4 linked regions of the Arabidopsis thaliana genome follow. The protein of the gene in region 4 interacts with the protein of the main gene of each other region in a pairwise test. Each region holds a gene or a part of one and is shown on either strand. Other genes may lie near its edges.

What was found.
Region 1: the proteins of bZIP6 (region 4) and AT2G27930 interact in a two-hybrid assay, tested with the Arabidopsis thaliana proteins (one large-scale study listed by BioGRID).
Region 2: the proteins of bZIP6 (region 4) and MYB105 interact in a two-hybrid assay, tested with the Arabidopsis thaliana proteins (one large-scale study listed by BioGRID).
Region 3: the proteins of bZIP6 (region 4) and AGL94 interact in a two-hybrid assay, tested with the Arabidopsis thaliana proteins (one large-scale study listed by BioGRID).

Annotation. Positions count from the first base shown.
Region 1 is NC_003071.7:11,890,209-11,894,575, reverse strand, and holds AT2G27930 (PLATZ transcription factor family protein), read right to left. Parts: upstream 2,480-4,367; 5' UTR 2,334-2,479; exon of another isoform or gene 2,219-2,333; 5' UTR 2,208-2,218; coding exon of another isoform or gene 2,126-2,207; coding exon 1,700-2,125; coding exon of another isoform or gene 1,607-1,699; exon of another isoform or gene 1,241-1,606; coding exon 1,088-1,240; 3' UTR 848-1,087; downstream 1-847.
Region 2 is NC_003070.9:26,155,606-26,159,641, reverse strand, and holds MYB105 (myb domain protein 105), read right to left. Parts: upstream 1,941-4,036; 5' UTR 1,936-1,940; coding exon 1,464-1,935; intron 1,388-1,463; coding exon 1,019-1,387; intron 936-1,018; coding exon 736-935; 3' UTR 548-735; downstream 1-547. UniProt on the Arabidopsis thaliana protein: Probable transcription factor that involved in boundary specification, meristem initiation and maintenance, and organ patterning. Functions in both lateral organ separation and axillary meristem formation.
Region 3 is NC_003070.9:26,144,153-26,149,732, forward strand, and holds AGL94 (AGAMOUS-like 94), read right to left. Parts: upstream 3,600-5,580; 5' UTR 3,178-3,599; intron 3,009-3,177; 5' UTR 3,008-3,008; coding exon 2,823-3,007; intron 2,737-2,822; coding exon 2,680-2,736; intron 2,577-2,679; coding exon 2,558-2,576; intron 2,511-2,557; exon of another isoform or gene 2,467-2,510; coding exon 2,399-2,466; intron 2,283-2,398; coding exon 2,267-2,282; intron 2,190-2,266; coding exon 2,128-2,189; intron 2,042-2,127; coding exon 1,945-2,041; intron 1,864-1,944; coding exon 1,807-1,863; intron 1,726-1,806; coding exon 1,183-1,725; 3' UTR 1,163-1,182; coding exon of another isoform or gene 1,154-1,162; 3' UTR 849-1,153; downstream 1-848. Other genes in the region: AT1G69550 (disease resistance protein (TIR-NBS-LRR class)), read right to left, coding at 4,684-5,580.
Region 4 is NC_003071.7:9,730,613-9,735,233, forward strand, and holds bZIP6 (basic leucine-zipper 6), read right to left. Parts: upstream 2,789-4,621; 5' UTR 2,673-2,788; coding exon 1,989-2,672; 3' UTR 1,964-1,988; exon of another isoform or gene 1,680-1,963; intron 1,023-1,679; 3' UTR 667-1,022; downstream 1-666. Other genes in the region: GRF1 (growth-regulating factor 1), read left to right, coding at 1-529.

The sequences.
Region 1 (4,367 bases), 2.2 Mb from region 4:
TTCTCGCAGTGCGATCAACAACCGCAACATGAGCTTGACTTCCTCTTGGAGAATTATACTACCAATGCATTATGCATCAATTATTACTTTTGTACAATTCCACAATTCTCTAATTATTCTCGAGAAACGACAACACGTAATTCATAATTAATGTTATAACCTAGTTTTTTCTTAAAGTGCCATAATATATTATGTAGAACGTGAAGGAAATTAAGGTCGATGCGTACTAAAATAAGACCATCCTTTACGTAAAATTTTACCACTTAAATTATTTATGTAAATAAGTGAAAGTTTCATTTTCTTTTTTAAGTAACTGTACCTTTCGAATACCTAACGCCTACGACAAACTATTTTAATTATATAACAGCTTAGAATTAATGTCGAAGAACATTTCATGTGTCTATACAAAACATATACACATTCATGTCCCTTAACCATTTAGATATTTTCCCAAAAAAAAAGAAAAGAAAAAAAAAACCATTTAGATACACAATTATTGATCCCTAAACCCCACACAATTTCAGTCTAAACTAAAATATTTAGTAGCTAGATGGATATAGAGACAGGTAACTTCAAACCACCACATCGATTAGTTATTAGATTATCTACTCGGAAATAAAGTATACAGTATATCTCCACCGACATTCTCATAGTCTAACTAATGCCTAAATTTTCATGTTATTCCTTCCTTCCACAAAGAGTCTTTTTGAACTCTTAATTTTTGTATAATGTGTTTTAAAGGTAAGACTTATATTTCACAAAAATTAATTAGTATATCAAATAGAGTCCATCCTACAATCCTACAGTATAGATATATGTTATACAATTAGCTAGAAATGTATTTAATGTTTTACAAAAAAAAAATATAGGGAAATTAGGATTTTCTTCTATACAAATTGTTGGTTTTCCATGTGAGAGGATTGTGAGAAGTGAGCTGGACATTGTACAAATTGGGAATATATAAATACACCCACCCAATACGCATATACTATGCTATGTTTGGGTGGACCATTAACTGATGATTTTAAAAAGATAAAAATAAGTTAAAGAAAAGTTTTATTTTATTTCTTGAAAAAGATTGATTAAATTAGGAGGCAAAAGGAGCTCTATGAGGAATGCCTTTTCGTCGCCTAGAATTAGAGGTATGAGTTGGAGGATGCGTGCCTTTGTGCGTTTCTTGTTGTCTTTCTTTACGCAATCTTTCTTCTTCCTCTTCCTTATTCTTCCTCATTCCTTCAACCTGACATTTTTATTATGATCACATCATACATTTCCGTTATGCAAATGTACCATATACTTTTTTTTTGAGCAAAATGTACCATATACATATATACAAACATCTAACCTCGTATATATTTTCTTAAGATACATTATATGAGGCAAACAACATGTATTAAGCGAGTTTGAATATAGTTGATTCAATGAATTTACCATACAAGTAACTAAACATTATACGGTGTATCCTTAAACCGATTCCTCATTTTATATCGGACAAATAAATGCGAAGATATTAGTAATAATGATGAAAATATGATAAACCAATTTTGTTGGTCCAGTTGTAAAGTGCTCGTTAGATAGATTGACTTATAACTATGCATTCGTTTTTCTATGATATGAAGTTTACAGGTTTTTGCTCATGATTTATCCATCCAGCTACAAAAAGGAATTTTGCATTGAGAAAAGGTGTAGGAAAACGAACCTTGCAACCCAAGGAACAGAAGCGAAAGGGATCAAGAAGGGTTCTGCAACATGTCTCACAGAAGTAGGACATGGTTTTCGGAGTGGAGGAGGCGGCACCATGGGAGGAGTTCTTAGGCTGAGGTCTCTCGTTTAAGAAGAGAACCCTCGCGCTATTGATGACATAAGTTTGCACTCCTCTTATGTCCAATGCATTCTCTATCTCCGATACTCTCACCACATCATGATACGACGATCTTCTTATCTGTCTCAATGTTAATGATAAAGAATTGGATTGAGTCAAAAGTGATATATATATATATGTGTATGCATTGTGTGTTGAGAAAATGAAGGACCTGAAGGACGGGATGATCAATGTGAAAGGAGGAGCGGCAGTAGAAGCAAAACGCAGCGTTTTGACAGGAGAGACAGAACATGTTGCACTCATTTCGCGGTGTCTCGCGATGTCGAGGGCAAATGCTGAAGAAGTTTGTTCTTAAGAGACCTTCGAGCCATTTCGGCTCCTCCATTAATCTCTCTCCTGTTTTGTTTTTCTTAGACAATAATTACAATATATACAAAAAGGGAAGAGCGAGACAAAACCTTATGAACAATGTAATAAATTACGAAGAACATGCTCTTGCCATTTGCATTACCTTTATGAAGATGATCAGTAGAGGGAGAGAGAAAGGGTATTAGATGATTGATTTTTGAGACAAGAGGAGGAAAAATCAGATTTTAAGGGTAAGAGAGAAAGGAAGATATAAATTTTATTTTATTGTTGATAAATGAAGATTTTATGTTTTTTTCTTCTTATTTAGGATTGGTAGATATCTTTTCAATTCTTCTCTTAATTATTAAATATTTATTGTTAATAGTTTATTGGGGGAGGAAAGGGAAAGGATATATAATTAGATATGATGTTTGGTTAAGGTTGATTCCTAACCGTTGGATGAGGCCATTGAGTAAATGAGTTTGATGACAAAATTACAAGCTAATTAAATGTGTATATAGATCAAAATTTGTTCCAACTTTGACTACAAAAATAACCAAAATATTAAATGATAATACTTTAAATTTAATATATATATATATGAAAATAATTAAATTCAAAAAATGTTTCTAAAATATATTTAATTAACATTTATGATTTGAATAATAGATTTCTCGAACTATTGAAACGTGTACATCCAAAAGAAACACACATTATCAACATATGTCAAATTAAAGAGATCAAAATTTGTTCCAACTTGGAATTTAATTATAACCAAAAAATTATAATGGTAATACTCTAATTTTGACATATCTATATCAATAAATGAAGAAGAATATATATATATATATATATATATATATACATATATAATTTATGGTTTACCTAAGAAATTCTTCAAACTATTGAAACGTGTACGTCCAAAAGAAACATACATAAATTATCAATATTTTCCACTTGGTATTAATCTTTTGGTTTGTAAGGTTGATCTTTTTGTTCGAGCCAACATTAAACTACATTAGATGGAATGTTGGCTCGAACAACCACATTATTCAACTTAGTTTAAAGAGTTTCAAACACTGTTTATCCCCTCATGCAAAATTTGAATCTCTTTTCTAGGTGATGACATTCCTCATTTCACTATCTTTAACCGATACTGCTTTTGAGAAAGATTACAAGGAGTTAACTCGGCTGATGACGGCCACGTCTGATGAGTGGTCTGGTCTGTCAAAGGGTAAATTTGTCTATCATTAGCATGGTGTAGAGAGAACCTTCTAATGTAAATCTTTGACTCTTTGTAGTGTCAATTGTAAAATTGTATATGAAATCCCTCATCAAGTAAAACTGCATGAATGATTTGTTAGTTGAGAAGATCGATCATTTGGAACAAAATAAAAATAAATTAAAATATTACAGACAAAAAAAAATATTACAAACACGTAAACTAAAGTTCACACTAATCGGTGGACCTCAAATATGATGGGGGAAAATGCCCGCTAATTACTCTTTAGGGAGGGTGCTAGCCTACGTGGTTGGGCGTGCCGTTTTGAGATGGAGAGCATCCGATCAGGACCAGTGTGTCAGTGATTGAGTTTGGAGCCCATTTCTTCTTATTCCTTTTGAGTTAGTTGATATTTCCCTAAGTGACTTTTTCTATTGGGCATTCTAATGGACCTGGTTTTGAACCTTTTTTGCCTTCAGTTTAGTATGCTTTTATTAGGTTAGGCGTTCGGGTATTCACATATAGAGTATAGATTGATTGGTTCTATATATGCGAAAAAAAATTAACTGACAAAAAAAATTATGCGATGTCTTGTGCTCGAAATAAAGAATAACAATTAGAAAATACGAATCTAGGGTTCAATCCATGGATAATTACTTGGAAAAATCCTTTACCTTGTAGAAATTGACATGCTATTTTATACAAAAAGAAACATAAGATGTCAATTTCTTTGTGTATAAAACATGCAAGAAAATTATTTGTTATAAAAAATATAGAAAATGTGAATTCAGATGGGTTTGAATGTGTTTTGGCCTGTCACCTTTTTCGTATGCTAACTTAATTTTTTTTTTAATTTGTTTTTATAAAACAAATATGGTTATAGTTAGCCTAATTAATTATAGTTGCGTCGTTATTATTATTATTATTTAGTAACAACATAATTTAAAATCGGAATGTTTTGTGTGAATAGATATA
Region 2 (4,036 bases), on a different chromosome or scaffold from region 4:
CATGATACAAATCAAATGATTATTACAATGAACAATAACTAGGAGAAGGGGCCATGTGGGTGACATGAGGTCGATGAGACGCATAAGTAAGGGGCAATGAAATGAAAATATGTTTTTGCTTTGGAGAGAATAAAAAAATGCAATGGGTGTGAGAATATTAAAGAGTGGATGTTTGGACTTTCTGTTGCAGAATCTGTGCCTGAATCTTGCAACCTCATCAATATCGCATGTTGTTATTAAACTTCTGCATACTCCAAATAAATACAATGTAGTACATTATTCCTTTTAATTTGACTTCTCTATCGTTCTTTGTCGTTTCTTATATCCACATCATCGTCCCTGTTTTAACATATGTCACCTTCCTCTTCATATACGAAGCATGTTGTTACTCTCACTCCATACAATTTTTGGACATTAATGACGGAATCTGACATTTTCATATAAGATAAGAGTTAGTTAGAACTATAAAGTGGTACAAATGTTTTACACTTCAAATCAATTTTGGTAAAGGTGAGACAATTTGGCATCTACATAAATGAAAGCATTGATTTTAACCAACGAGTGGTATATATGTACGTGCTAATTAACACGGGGTAAGGAATGTTGCATGTGACTAAGGACAACAACATTTAATCTACAATTATTAACGCAACATAACTACATCGACAAGGACTCAAATCATCTCATAACTTTTGTTAACTAACTCAAGCCAGTCTTGTTCATGATCGATGATGATCACACCGTCCCCAACCCAAGAAAATCGAAAAATGGTGGTTTCTTCTCCTCATTGATTCTTTCAAATATCTCACTCTTCCCGGTTTGGTTTAAGAAATCGAATGTAGTTGCCTCTTGTGTCCATGCAATGTAATCGCCAACCATCATTTGGGTTTCGAACATATCCACCATTAATGGACTCTCATTTTCATGATCATAACCTAAATAGTACAAAAAATGGAAGAAAATTAAGAAATGATATGGAATTAAAAACTGAAAGAAAAGAGAACACAAAAACTCAAACCTGGGAAGCAAGGAACTGGTAACATAAGCTGCTTATGGTCACTACTAGCAAGGTGGGTCAAAGCTAACCGGGTAGGGTCAAAATCATTGAAAATGTGAGGATTAGGGTTAATGAGTGGCTTAAGAGAAACCATCGTCTTCCTCCTACGGTAAGAAGAAGATTGTTCCCTAAACTTGCGAGCCATTATAACATGCCAATGGTTCTTCACAGAATTATCAGTCCTACCAGGGAAAAGCCTCGCTATCATCGCCCATTTGTTACCATAAAGCCTATGAGCTTGCATTAGCCTCTCTTCTTCTTCCTCAGTGAAGGCTCTTCTATTTATCCTTGGGTCTAGTTGGTTAAACCATCGAAGCCTACAGCTTTTCCCTGCTCAACATTAACACCCAAAATCTCAAGAACGTGAATCTTGTAAAAGCTTAATCAAGTGACAGAATTAACGTACCGGATCTTCCTTGGAGCTTCTCAGCTATGAGGTTCCAGTTTTGTGGACCGTAGACGGCGACTAGTTCTTTGAGCTTAGTATCTTCAGCTGGTCTCCAATGTCCTCTAGACACCGAAGCTTTTGACGAGTGTCCACAGCTTCTATAGACTGTTGTGTCTTTCTTGTTGCAATTACTGTAATCACTTAGATTAGGGTTCATGTCTTCTTCTCTATGACTTGTGTAGTAGCTACGGAGATGTTGAGCATTGTCGATATTTAAAGAGAAGTAGTCCGATGAAGTGGTCTGATCCATCGAATGGTGTTGATCTTCCGACATGATACAATGTTGTTGTTGGTTATAGTGATGATGTGAGGACGAAGACAAAGAAGACGGGAAGCAAGGTGTTATGGAGAGAGACGCCACGTCAGCATGCACCATCTCCATCCTCATTGGAGGAGAAGAGCAAATATTAAATATGACTTTGAACATCATAATTGATATTTGTGTGATATTATTACGTATGGCTCTAAGCTATGTGCGTGTATGTATATGTTGTGACCTTGTTTTCTGACAAAATGCTGTTATACAACTGTTAAAAGGTTCATGGACTGTCACGGACTGATTTGAAAGCTGATATATATTTCTATACATTTGTATTTATGCATTGTAAATTGTTTTCAACACTCAGTTTAATTTACATTCTAGATATTTTAATTTAGGATTATTGTATAAATAGTATTATTATCTCTGGTTTAAGTTATAACCAAATAGCTATAATCTACATTTACAATAAAATCCAATAACATTTTCACAATAATTGTCACTACTTAATTTTGAAAAAACTAGGAATGTGGAAACGTATAGAGATGAAAGAAATAAATAAAAATGCTAGGACAGAGAAAGAGTAAAGGACAGGGAACACGTTTCCTACGTTGTGAGCAGTGGAGATGTGTTTGGAAAAGTGGAGAGAGATGAAAAGTTGTTAAACATCCGTAAACATCTTTTTTTTTAGTTCAACTGCTTTTGTTCTTTGTTGCCCCAAACAAAACATCATATTATTCTACGATTGCTTGCCAAACAAAATCTTGGTATTATCTTGTTTGAATTTCGAACTATGAATATGATCTTCTTCTTTTTCTTTTTTGTTCAAGTAACAAGGCGATTTCACCCCAAGTTTTAACTATTTTCCGCTTGATACATATGAATTAAGCGTTAGGTATTCTTGTCATTTAATACATTCATAGTGGTCACTGCTCATGCATTATCAAAGTTTTGAATTCTATCTCACAACCAATTTGAATTAACCACTAAACCATCACAAATTGGTTGTTTATTTGTTTTTCCTTTACAAAGAAACCTACAATTTACAGAATCTTTTTTTTTTAAAAAAATAATTAATGATTTTGTTGTTGTTGTTGGTTGCTACCGAAAATTGGAAATAGTAATGAGGATGAAACTAAACATCTGAAGTAGTCCCAACTATAACAGCCAAAAAGGCTCAAAGCATACATTTGATTTGACTCTTGCGTCTTTTATTTTCTAACCACAATTATATCTCTCACGCACACTTCACATGTCTTTTCACCAATCCCCATTTATCTCTCACTCTCGACATTTTGATGGTTTATATGAAACCCTCTTTCTACGTACATAGCCGGTCTCTTCATAATGTGAATGTTAATGATCTTCCCAAACGAGTCCGTTTTTCATATAGTCTTGACTACTTGTTGCCATATCAATTCTACCATTTACTGATTTTAAAATTAACTATCCAACCATATGTCGCAGAATTCGCTGTTATAAATCATTTTTTTAAGGGATCGGCTAGACTTATTAAGTTATTATCGTTAGAATTTCTGTCGCAATATGAATATTCATAACACCATAATGCAATTTTAAAAAAGAATGTAAAGTATTTCTTTTTTTATTATTAATTAATTGTGCAGCTATAAATGCATATACGAAACATATATTATCCCATATATACAAAGGAAATACCTAGGTTTGGTGAGACTTTAAGCATAACGTAGATGTATTTATTTGACCAAAAAGATATCAATTGGCAGAGGAATACATTATCTCAGATTCAGAGTATTTGCTGCAGACTTGTACGGTCCATCTGCAGAGATTAACTCAACATTTCCTATGGTCCTTTTTTCTTGGTCAATAACTTTGAATATATACTTTCTTAATTTACACTAAATTTGTGTCATACAGTAGATGTGAGAATGGATAGTTACTTTTTCAAAGATACGCACTAACAAAGTAACACTAACCATTAGCAGGTTAATTAAGGATATCTACACCCAACCCAATTACCTTCACTTTTATTTTGTTATCATTTGAAAAGAAAAAAAAGTATATGTTATCTACTTATTTAAGTTAACAAGTATTTTTTATTTTATTTTTACAAGTTTTCGGGGTTCGTTTATAAAAAGCCATTAAAAAAAGGTGTTGATTTTTTTGGTGACGTCTGTTTCAATAACTGTAGGGGATAGAATTATTAGAATTGAATTTTCAGTTTTAAATGTGGAACATATACAATATATAATGTCGGGAAAGGAAACAGATTCAGAAATTAATGCATAGGATC
Region 3 (5,580 bases), on a different chromosome or scaffold from region 4:
TCATTAATATACTTTTCTTTTTCCCACCATCAAAATATATTTAGCTAACTAATTCGATCATTTTTTTTTTCTTTTTTCAATCAACATTATAATAACATTAGCGTCTTTTTCTCTTTGATTAATTTGCAAATGTATAAGAGATTACATATGAGAAAATCCATGAAAAAAAAGAAACGAAGCAAAAAAAAAAACATAATGTAGTTTGTTGACAGGTTATTTTGGCCAGCAAATCTGCATATCTAATAGATTTTCTATACGTGGTTTGTAGACAAAAAAAAATACGAAGCATTTTGCGGGAAAAAATCCAACTGATTTGAAAGAATAAAAAATCAGCCATCAGAATAATAATAAGAAATTAACTATACTATACTGCAAATAGCATGTTGTGACAAAAAGAAAACAAAAAAGAAGAATGACGTGCACGTAGTAGTAACAGTAATCACGAGTGATACAGAATAACCGAAGCCATGTGCTTTTCTGACAATATTTTGTTCTAACTACCCACATGAGTACCTATGGGTCCCCGCAGACTCGAAACGCTAACCAACATATTTCACATCGTCCATTTTCTCAACGGGCCTTATTTAGCCCATTCTCTCATTTTAAGCATTCACTGAGCACTCTTCCTTTATGAGATTCAACAACTCCAAACTATTATCGGGAAATTGCATGAACACTTTCGAAATGACTATTCAGTTTTCTCTGTTTACTACTCTTCTATCATTTGATGGGGACAAAATGAATACTTCATCAGTTCATCTTAAATATTACTTTTCTTCAAATTATAATAAACTCTTGATGTGGTGGTTGCAGTGTAGTTAAGGATTTGGAAACTGCAAATCAAAATTTTTCTAGCCAACTCATATTATGTTATTTTATAGATGCGTAAGCAGAGGTAAACGCATTTATTTACATCTCTCGTTCACAGCTTAGACTTGTATTATAAATAGTATATAACCGAGAAACAATACTTTGCTTACGCTTTTTGGAGATGACTCTCGAGTTACAAGTAACTTAAAATAGTATCATCTAGTGTAGTATGTGTCCATGTAACCTATCAATCCTAGCTTCTTCGGCATTTATGACTCGTTGATACAAAGACAAGGCGCGTTTTCGGATCAATGCGTCTTATGTTTTTTTCCGGAGCTACTTGTCAGTTTGGCTGTTGCATATTAGATATGTTCAGAAACAGTCAGCAAAACAAGACCAGTAATAACAGAGTTTTGAAAACAAATGAATGATGAACAAACCGTTATTTACCCAAAAATATAGAGGATCATCGAAGACCGCAACATAAGGTAATGTTTCAGAAGAAGCGCCGTTGTTTTTTCCTCCAATCTGAGGCTTATAAGAAGCTTCCAAGATCTGGCTAACGTAGTAATCCGCAGGACTGCCTAATAGATTCCACTCAGCTAGTTGCTTAAGCTTTTGATCATTTAAGAAACTGAGATTGCTGAATTGTTGGTTCGGATCAGCCGATGTCCCGGGAATGCTACCGGTTTCTAGTTTTTGTAAGATATCTGAGCTTTTACTAAAGAGTCCTGAGTAATTTCCAAGAGCTGAACTTGCAGAACACGTTATGTCCTTGTACATGTGATGAAGCTGCAGATTAGGGTCTTCTTCTTCTATAGGAACATTCATGTTTTCATCGGTACGAACCCATGAGAAATTCTCAAGTTGTTGCTCCATCTCCATTCCGAAATCTATATCTATTTCAGTCTGCAACTGCATAAACACAATGTTTTGGCTCTATGTTTATACATATCTCAAAACATCTTTATAATGTCCAGAGTGATGAATCCTTACCTGGTTTTTGCATTGTGAGGACATAAGTTGTTGCTGCTGACGTTGCGGCATGCTCGCCTATAAGTCGTAATAAGATGCATAAGTTTTGTTAAATGAGACCTTAACTCATTATTTGATTATTTGGGAGGAAGATCATACCTTACGACCATAGATTTGAGCCAGAGATTGTCTTAGTGAATGTTCTAGTTGCTGCAAAACATCTACGCTGTCGATATTATCTACATCGGTCCAGTAGCTATCTCAAAAAACCATGTAACTCACAAATTAGAATACCAAAACCAAAAGGAAGATTTAACTGAAGTAGATAGAAGATATTTGCACCTTAGTCGTGTGTGTATATCTGATAATTGTGTTTGCAGAAACCTGATTTTTTCGCTAAGCACCTGAAAATTCCCGTGTCGCGAAACGAATTAGAAGATACTTCAGAATCATTTATTAACATCATAGTAGTTGTACATACCTCAACTGTTGGTGTACTGTAAAAGAAAACAAAAACGAGTCACATTAGTAGTAATACACAACAACACTAAACAAGAACAAACAGAGAAAGAGTTCAGAAAGAATCTCATATTCTTGATATAATATAACACACCTAATTCTGTCTAGAAACTTTGATATATCTATATCGTGGTTAGCTTTCATGAAAGTTTTCCTCAAGGCCTAAGATATTATGAAAAAGAAATAGTATTAATGATAGTTTAGGAGATGAGAAGAGAAGAGAGACTAAACAGAGCCAAGAACCACTACTTACTTCAAGGTTTTCCAACTTCCTGTTCAAACGTAGACAAAAATCGAAGAAGTTATATGTTCAGTGTAATGTCAACGCAGAAAGATTCTAGATCCTAGAAATGTGTAAAAGTGAAGAGAAGAAACCTCTTTGCTCTTTCTTGAGGAGAGAGTTGAGCAAACTTAGCAATGACTTCTCCAATGCTAAACAAAACCCAAAAAACAGAACATCAAACTAAACAGAACAATGTGAAAGATACTTTGGTATTAAAAAAAAAGTGTGATCAGACCTGTGTTTGCCTATGCAAATTGAAGCCTTTCCCATGGGAGAAAACATGAGAAGCACAACATCTATGTCGCATAAGATCGATAACTCCTTAGCCTTTTTCATAATCCCATGTCTCCTTTTCGTATACGTACATTGACGTCCATTCATGTTCTGTAGTTTCTTTATCTTTAGCTTCACTCTACCCATCCTGCATAACTTATGACCCACTCATATGAACAAAGAGAATACAACACACATTTTGAAACTAACAATGAGCAACACCAAGAATCAATGGAATAGCAAACGATACCCACTTGGCCACTTCAAAGATTCATACTTTTGTCAATAAAATCCCCAAGAAGGAAGAGAAAACTTACCTAATTTAAGACAAAACAAAACTTTCCATGAATCAGATGCTGAACATAAAAACTTTCCTTATGAGGAAGAAAGAAAAAAAGAGAGAAAAGGACAACAAAAAAAAACAGAGCTTTTGGAAACGAAGAGAGATTGTGAAGGAGAGAGAAGAAATAGGTATTGATTGGGAGACCAAAAAAATCGGAAATTAGGGTTGGAAGCTAGAGACTAGGGAATTTGGGATCGTTTCCATTAATTTTCATCTGTTACTTCACAGAACAGAAACAACGACTTACCCGCTTTCTTTTTTTATTGGACCACTCATTTGGGCTAACCACCAAAGTAAATCAGTTACTAGAAGCTACTAACCGACGTTTCACGTGTCAAGCTCATCGGGTTTCGTTTCCTAGGAATGTGGCACTTAGATCTGATGAGGATGGTGCCGTAACGGCGAACTAAGCACCTTACGGTTGAGAATCATACGGTCTACACGTGTTGATTAGTTTTATATAAACCGTTGTTTCTTTTGTTTTATATTTCACGTGTGTTTTTTCTTGAACCATCTATGTTTTGTATAGTACATGCTTATTAGTATGTTTTGATGATTTCAGATATTTGGTAAAAGAGATTTTTAAAAAAGAAAAAAATTGGTTCATACTTTTAGAAAGTGTGATTAGAAACTGGATTTCTATGTTGGTGGGGGATTAATAAGCCTGTATTTGTCAACCAAGAAACTGAATTCGACTTAAACTTTTGTTGATCTCTCACTGTAGAGACATGTTTAATGATTTCGATTTGAACTCCAACGGTTGCAAAACATAAATACAGTATATGGACATAGACAATAAAATCACGTATTATATAGAACCTTCGACGTGAGCGTCCTCTTCCAAGAGTGGGCGTATCCCGTATTCACCTATCTCCCAGTCGTCATTTAAGTTGAATTCGAACTCAAACAAAAGCTCTATGGATTCCACACCTCTTGCTTCAACTTCGAATGTGTACAGAGGCTCTGTTAAAAGTGGATATAGAGTTGGGCTTTTTAAACTATACTTGCGACCACTCTGTTTCTCTACGATGGTAAGATATACGTACCCCCAGTTCTCACAGTCAATTTTGTCACCCTTTCTAACCAGCAAGATCCAATCTCAAGACTTTCTTCTTCTTCTTCCTCTTCTTATTCTTCCATAGAAGCCGCGAACCAAGACCTGATCAGATTCTAAAACAATGTAGAGCAATATCTTCCGACACAAGTCATGGAAAGATCCACTAACAACACAACAACAAAGACCTCGAGCCCTAATAAACCTCCTTACAGAATCCCTTCACATGTTTTCGCAAGAACAACCTCTACAGCTCCAGTTGAATGGAGCATTGTCTCCAATGAATCTCTTTTCAGTATCCATATTGGTAATAATAGCTTCACGTTTCCTCAGCATCCTTCACCAATAACTTCTCTTTTACCATCACCAATAACTGTGTTACAAACATATATACCGTATATGGAAATAGACAATACAATCACGTCATTATATAGAACTTTCGACGTGAGTGTCCTCCTCCAAGAGTGGGCGTATCCCGCATTCACCTATCTCCCATTTTTTCCTGCCGAATTGGAACTTAATGACAAGCTCTACGGATTTCACACCTTTTGCTTCGATTTCGAATGTGTACAGATGCTCAGTTAAAAGTGGATATAGAGTTGGGCTTTCTAAACTATACTTGCGACCACTCTGTTTCTCTAGGACGGTAAGATATACGGACCCCCATTCCTCACAGTCAATTTTGTCACCCTTTCTAACCAGCAAGATGCAAGCTTTAAATCTACAAGATGTACGACAATGCCTCTCATTCAACTTCACTGCCAGAGAACCTCCAGTGGTAGCTCGGTAAGTGAAAAACGCAGGCACTTCTCTACCTGGTAACATCGTGTAGTTACTTGTCGATGTCTGGACGATGATATCTCTCCCTTTTTCATTCAGTTTCCAGCAGTCAATAAATTTGAGCCAAACTTGGGGATTCGGAAAGGAGCAAGCAAGTGTCTCCAAGGACTCACATGATTCTGCAACTAAAACTGATAAGGAATCTGGAAGCTGCGGGAGTGATACCAGCTTCGTGCATTTGTTGAGATCCAATTTCTTGAGATTAATGAGATTCCCAATAGATGAAGGAAGCTCTACTAGGCTTGAGCATTCACTAAGATACAGTTCCTGGAGATTAATGAGATTCCCAATAGATGAAGGAAGCTCTACTAGGCTTGAGCATTCACTAAGATACAGTTCCTGGAGATTAATGAGATTCCCAATAGATAAAGGAAGCTCCACTAAGCTTGAGCATCCACTTAGATCCAATTTCTTGAGATTAATGAGATTCCCAATAGATGAAGGAAGCTCCACTAAGCTTGAGCATCCACTTAGATCCAATTT
Region 4 (4,621 bases):
TGCAACCTCTTCCAAAGGCTTTGGATCGTATCTTGACTTCGGCAACCAAGCCAAGCACGCGGGGAATCACAACAATGTCGATTCTTGGCCCGAAGAGCTGAAATCGGATTGGACTCAGCTCTCAATGTCAATCCCTATGGCTCCATCTTCCCCTGTTCAAGATAAACTTGCACTCTCACCTTTAAGGTTATCGCGTGAGTTTGACCCCGCGATCCACATGGGATTAGGCGTCAACACCGAGTTTCTTGACCCCGGGAAAAAGACGAATAACTGGATACCAATCTCCTGGGGTAATAACAACTCCATGGGAGGTCCACTCGGCGAGGTACTAAACAGCACGACCAATAGTCCCAAGTTTGGTTCCTCTCCAACAGGCGTCTTGCAAAAGTCGACATTTGGTTCTCTTTCTAACAGCAGCTCGGCAAGCAGCACCATCATTGGCGATAACAACAATAAGAACGGTGATGGAAAAGATCCGCTTGGCCCGACCACGCTGATGAATACTTCTGCTACTGCTCCTTCTCTGTGAAACTGAAAAAAAAAAACTAAGGACAATTGCGAAAACAAAAACACTCTGTTTTTCTCTGTTTCTGGTTTTTCTTACTTGATGCATTGTTGTTTCTGTTGCTGTTTTCTTTCTATATAAAGCAAGAAGAAACTAAAGGAGAGATGTGTGTTTTTTTCTTCATAATCTTTGTTCTTTGTTTTTCCTCTTATTTGTTCTCAATCATCAAATTCTTGATTTTATTGTTCCTCTTATAGCCGTTGAGCTAAATCCCTGGTTTTAAGAAGTCTATGTACACAATGTTCTAAAACTGAAAAATATACAAATTTTTACTTTTTTCACTAACCACAAAATTAAAACCAAGTGTTAGTGTCACAAAATTTGTGATCCTTGAGAGATTTTGACGAGAGGTTTCCTAGTTGCAGACAAGAGGCAACATTGTTTGTGGATTGGACATAGAACACTTCTTCAAAACAACTGTCTCCAACTTTAGTTTTTTTTTTTTTTTTTTTGGGTTCTGTTTCTCCACTTTTGGGTCCCTGTAACTACTTTTTGCTCTTCTCTCTCTAACCCTACCTTTCACTTATTCCTGTTTTTGTTTTTCTTCAAGAAAAAATGAAATTGATTATAAAGAGTGGAGGAGGACCAATCTCTCAATGTATGGATGGTCCATAACGTTTTTAATTTGGATTTTTTTGTGTAATTTTTGGAGATTTTATTCTAACACGTGGCATGTGTGGGACGATCCAGACACTTCCACTTGCACTAGACACGACAATTCTTACCGAATAAATATCTTCACTAGATGCAAGATGCTTCAAGACTCAAGAGTACAGTATTAGATATAGTTTGGAGTACATAACCTTGTTGCTTTCATATGATAAATTTAGTGTTAGATCATTAACAATCTTTTCCCAAAATGGTTAATGGTTAATGGTTAATGGTTAATAGTTTTGCATATATTTTAAACAAATAATACGTTATTCAAATTTGCATATATTTTTCTAACTATACTTAATTCCGTCTACGTACTTGATAAAAAAAAGGCTTGTAGGAAGAATCTTGCGGTCTGTCTACTTGAGGAATAAGAAGGAATCAAAGAGGAAACAAGCTGAACATGGGAATTGGGAAGTCTGTGAAAGACTCTGGTTGACGTAGAGGTTTCATTCCAACCCTCAAAGCCGACGACTCCAACTTGATGCAGAAGGTTTTAAATACATGATAGGGTGGTAGTCGTCAACAAGAGTAGTTGATTAGGCTTATATCTTTTAGCCCACTCACTAATGGGCCTTGATAAATATGATTAGAGAGGCCCAAGTACGAAACAACAGCAAAAAAAAAACGAAGTCCATCATCTAAAGTAACACTCATATTCTCATTTACACATAAGAGTGATCAAAAGAGACACAGAAATAAAAATACTTCGCTTTTATCTAATTTTTTTTTTCCGTTCTAAACTTTTTTTTTTCTATTTTTTTTTCTTTCAAATCATATGATGATGATTGATGATCAATGATGGATTCAGCTGAAGCTGTCTGAAAATCAAAATCTGCCTCATCTCCAAGAATCTCCGTCTGAGAATCTCTTGTTCCGACAAAAGCTGATTGTTGTCCGTACACATTAATGCGATGTTGTACAAAACAATTCGAAGCCGGTTTGCGAGTTCCCGGTTTTCTAAACCGAGACGATTTGCTTCGTCTTTTAAATTATCAATGTGTCTTTGTTTACGCATCCTCGACCGCTTCGCTGATTCTCGGTTTGATTCCATCCGTTTGCGTTTACGGTCGTCAGTCACCTGCAAAACCGACCGGTTCAATTTGTTCCGGTTATGATTCGTGGCGTTACTTCGGATTTTCGTGTTTTTTGAGTCCAATTCGTCGGATTGAGGACTCGGTACGCCGTGGAAAAGGTTGGAATCATCAGAACCGGAGTTAGTTTTGATGGAACCGATACACGATTCGTCAAAACCGTTAAAATCGGTGTTAATTTTGACAGAACCGGCATCGGATTCACCAGAACAAGGACTCGGTACGACCGGTTCGAGATGGATTGTAGAGAAGAGATCGGAGCAGTTCAATTCCCAAGGAGTGAATCCGGTCTGGAAATCCGATAATTGGTTAACCAAACCCGGTTCAGTAAAGGTAAAGGCCGGTACAGTAGACATCATAATGACCGGTTTAAAATTGTTTAATTAGAGAGAAGAGAGAGAAGAGAAGGAGAAAAGGGAAGCATTGATTTGAAGGAGACTGGAATTTAAAGGAAAATTGGTAAGGGTATTTTGGTAATTTTTGAAATACTATGTATGACCGTATTTTATACGTATAACGACTTTTGAGTCATGTGGCACTATGTGGGGTTGGTATTATTTTTCAAGACCCAACTTTTATGATTTATATGAAAGTAGAAAAATATTTTGTGGGACACCAATAGCCAATAGGACTCGTTTAAGGTCACTTTCTGAAAATAAAAAAGTGATTAAAATTGTTAAACCAAATGTTTGTTATAGCTTAGTGATGAAGAAACAGTCCATATTTAACACATGCATTGTCCATTCATCTAATTTGTCGCCATTGTATTCAAATCTAGATTTACAACAGAACAAAGAAAAAGAGAGAAGTTCAAATAAATAAAATAAATTTGAGGCTCAAAAAAATGAATATGGTGTCGTTGGTCGATTGATTTATATGTGTAGTTGGTGTAATTAGTGGTTGGACATGAAACAACTAACATAAAATTCAATCACAACGTTCGTTTTTGGTTTTTATTTCAATCAAAATTTATCTGATTTTAACTAAATCCAGCTTTTTATTTCATATTGGTTCGTATCAAAAATGTTTTTTTCTTTTCCACAAAATGTTTGAGTAAGTTGTTTATATGATTTTAGTATTTGAAAGGTACTTAGAGAATCTATATATTAGTTGGTACCTGGTGTAACTACCAAACTAAAAATAAATACCGAATACTGATATATTTTCTCAATATGTTATTTTTTGTGTGTTTTTTATCAATCGTGATAAAGTAATTTCAAAATTAATTGGAATTAAACAAAATATTTATGTTTAACGAAAAGCTATTTAAGAACGAAAGAGAATCTTATTTATCTAACAAATAAATAAAAGAAAAAATAATCTTATCAATGAATAATACGTCCAACAACAAATTAATGATTTTTAAATACATTTTTGTGCTCTAAATTTTCGGTTAGTTAGTTTATTCGAAATAAGAAGATAATAAAGAAGAGAAAAACTATAGCAACGGCCACATGCCAAATCTTCAAAAGTAGTAAAGCAGAAATATATTTAGAAAACTTTTATTATATGGTTTGGTAGCATGTTAAATCAAACTTTAATCGCATAAAGATGTATCATTCAAATGCTTCCCACATTATCTTTTTAGTTTTAATAATCACAACTTCTCTTTTATTAAATATATATATTGTTGCTATTATAGAATATAAGTAGGTGATTCTACGTATTTTTTAACGCATCAAGATTTACTATTGTCTAGCCCAATTTGTTATTGAAATATCAAATCGTGTAAATCTTGTTCAGAAACTTGCGTGGGCTCGAATTTGGATGTAGGGAGATAAAACTGGCATTAGGCTAGCTAATAGGCAAAAATAAAACAAAAAATAAGAAAGACTGAAATAAATGATATCATCAGTTCATGATTTGATTTGATTTTCATGCTCTAATGCTAAATATTTTTTCTTGTGTCATTTTGATGAATTAGAGATGTCCATCTTTATTTTAAAATCGTACATTGACGCAAAATCTTCGCTAAAATAAAGAAAATATAAAAGTGGCACTGAAAATGTTAATAACTTTATTATTTGGTTTAAAATTGGTCTTCCAACCTAGATAAAATAATTTTATATAAATAATTTTTCTCTAATTGAAAGATCCTATGTAAACTAAACTGAATAAATACACACACATGGTTCTCACTCGAAGAAAACTCTTGGTCAGATTTTGGTTCACCATTCACTAAAATCTCTGGGTTGAGTCTATAAGTCTTTCAAATCCAACAAAAACAACATTCTCCAAAGAAATTAAAAGTAACTTTTTAGTAGATCTTAAAAATATGTCCTCACAATTTCGTTATAACATATGTATG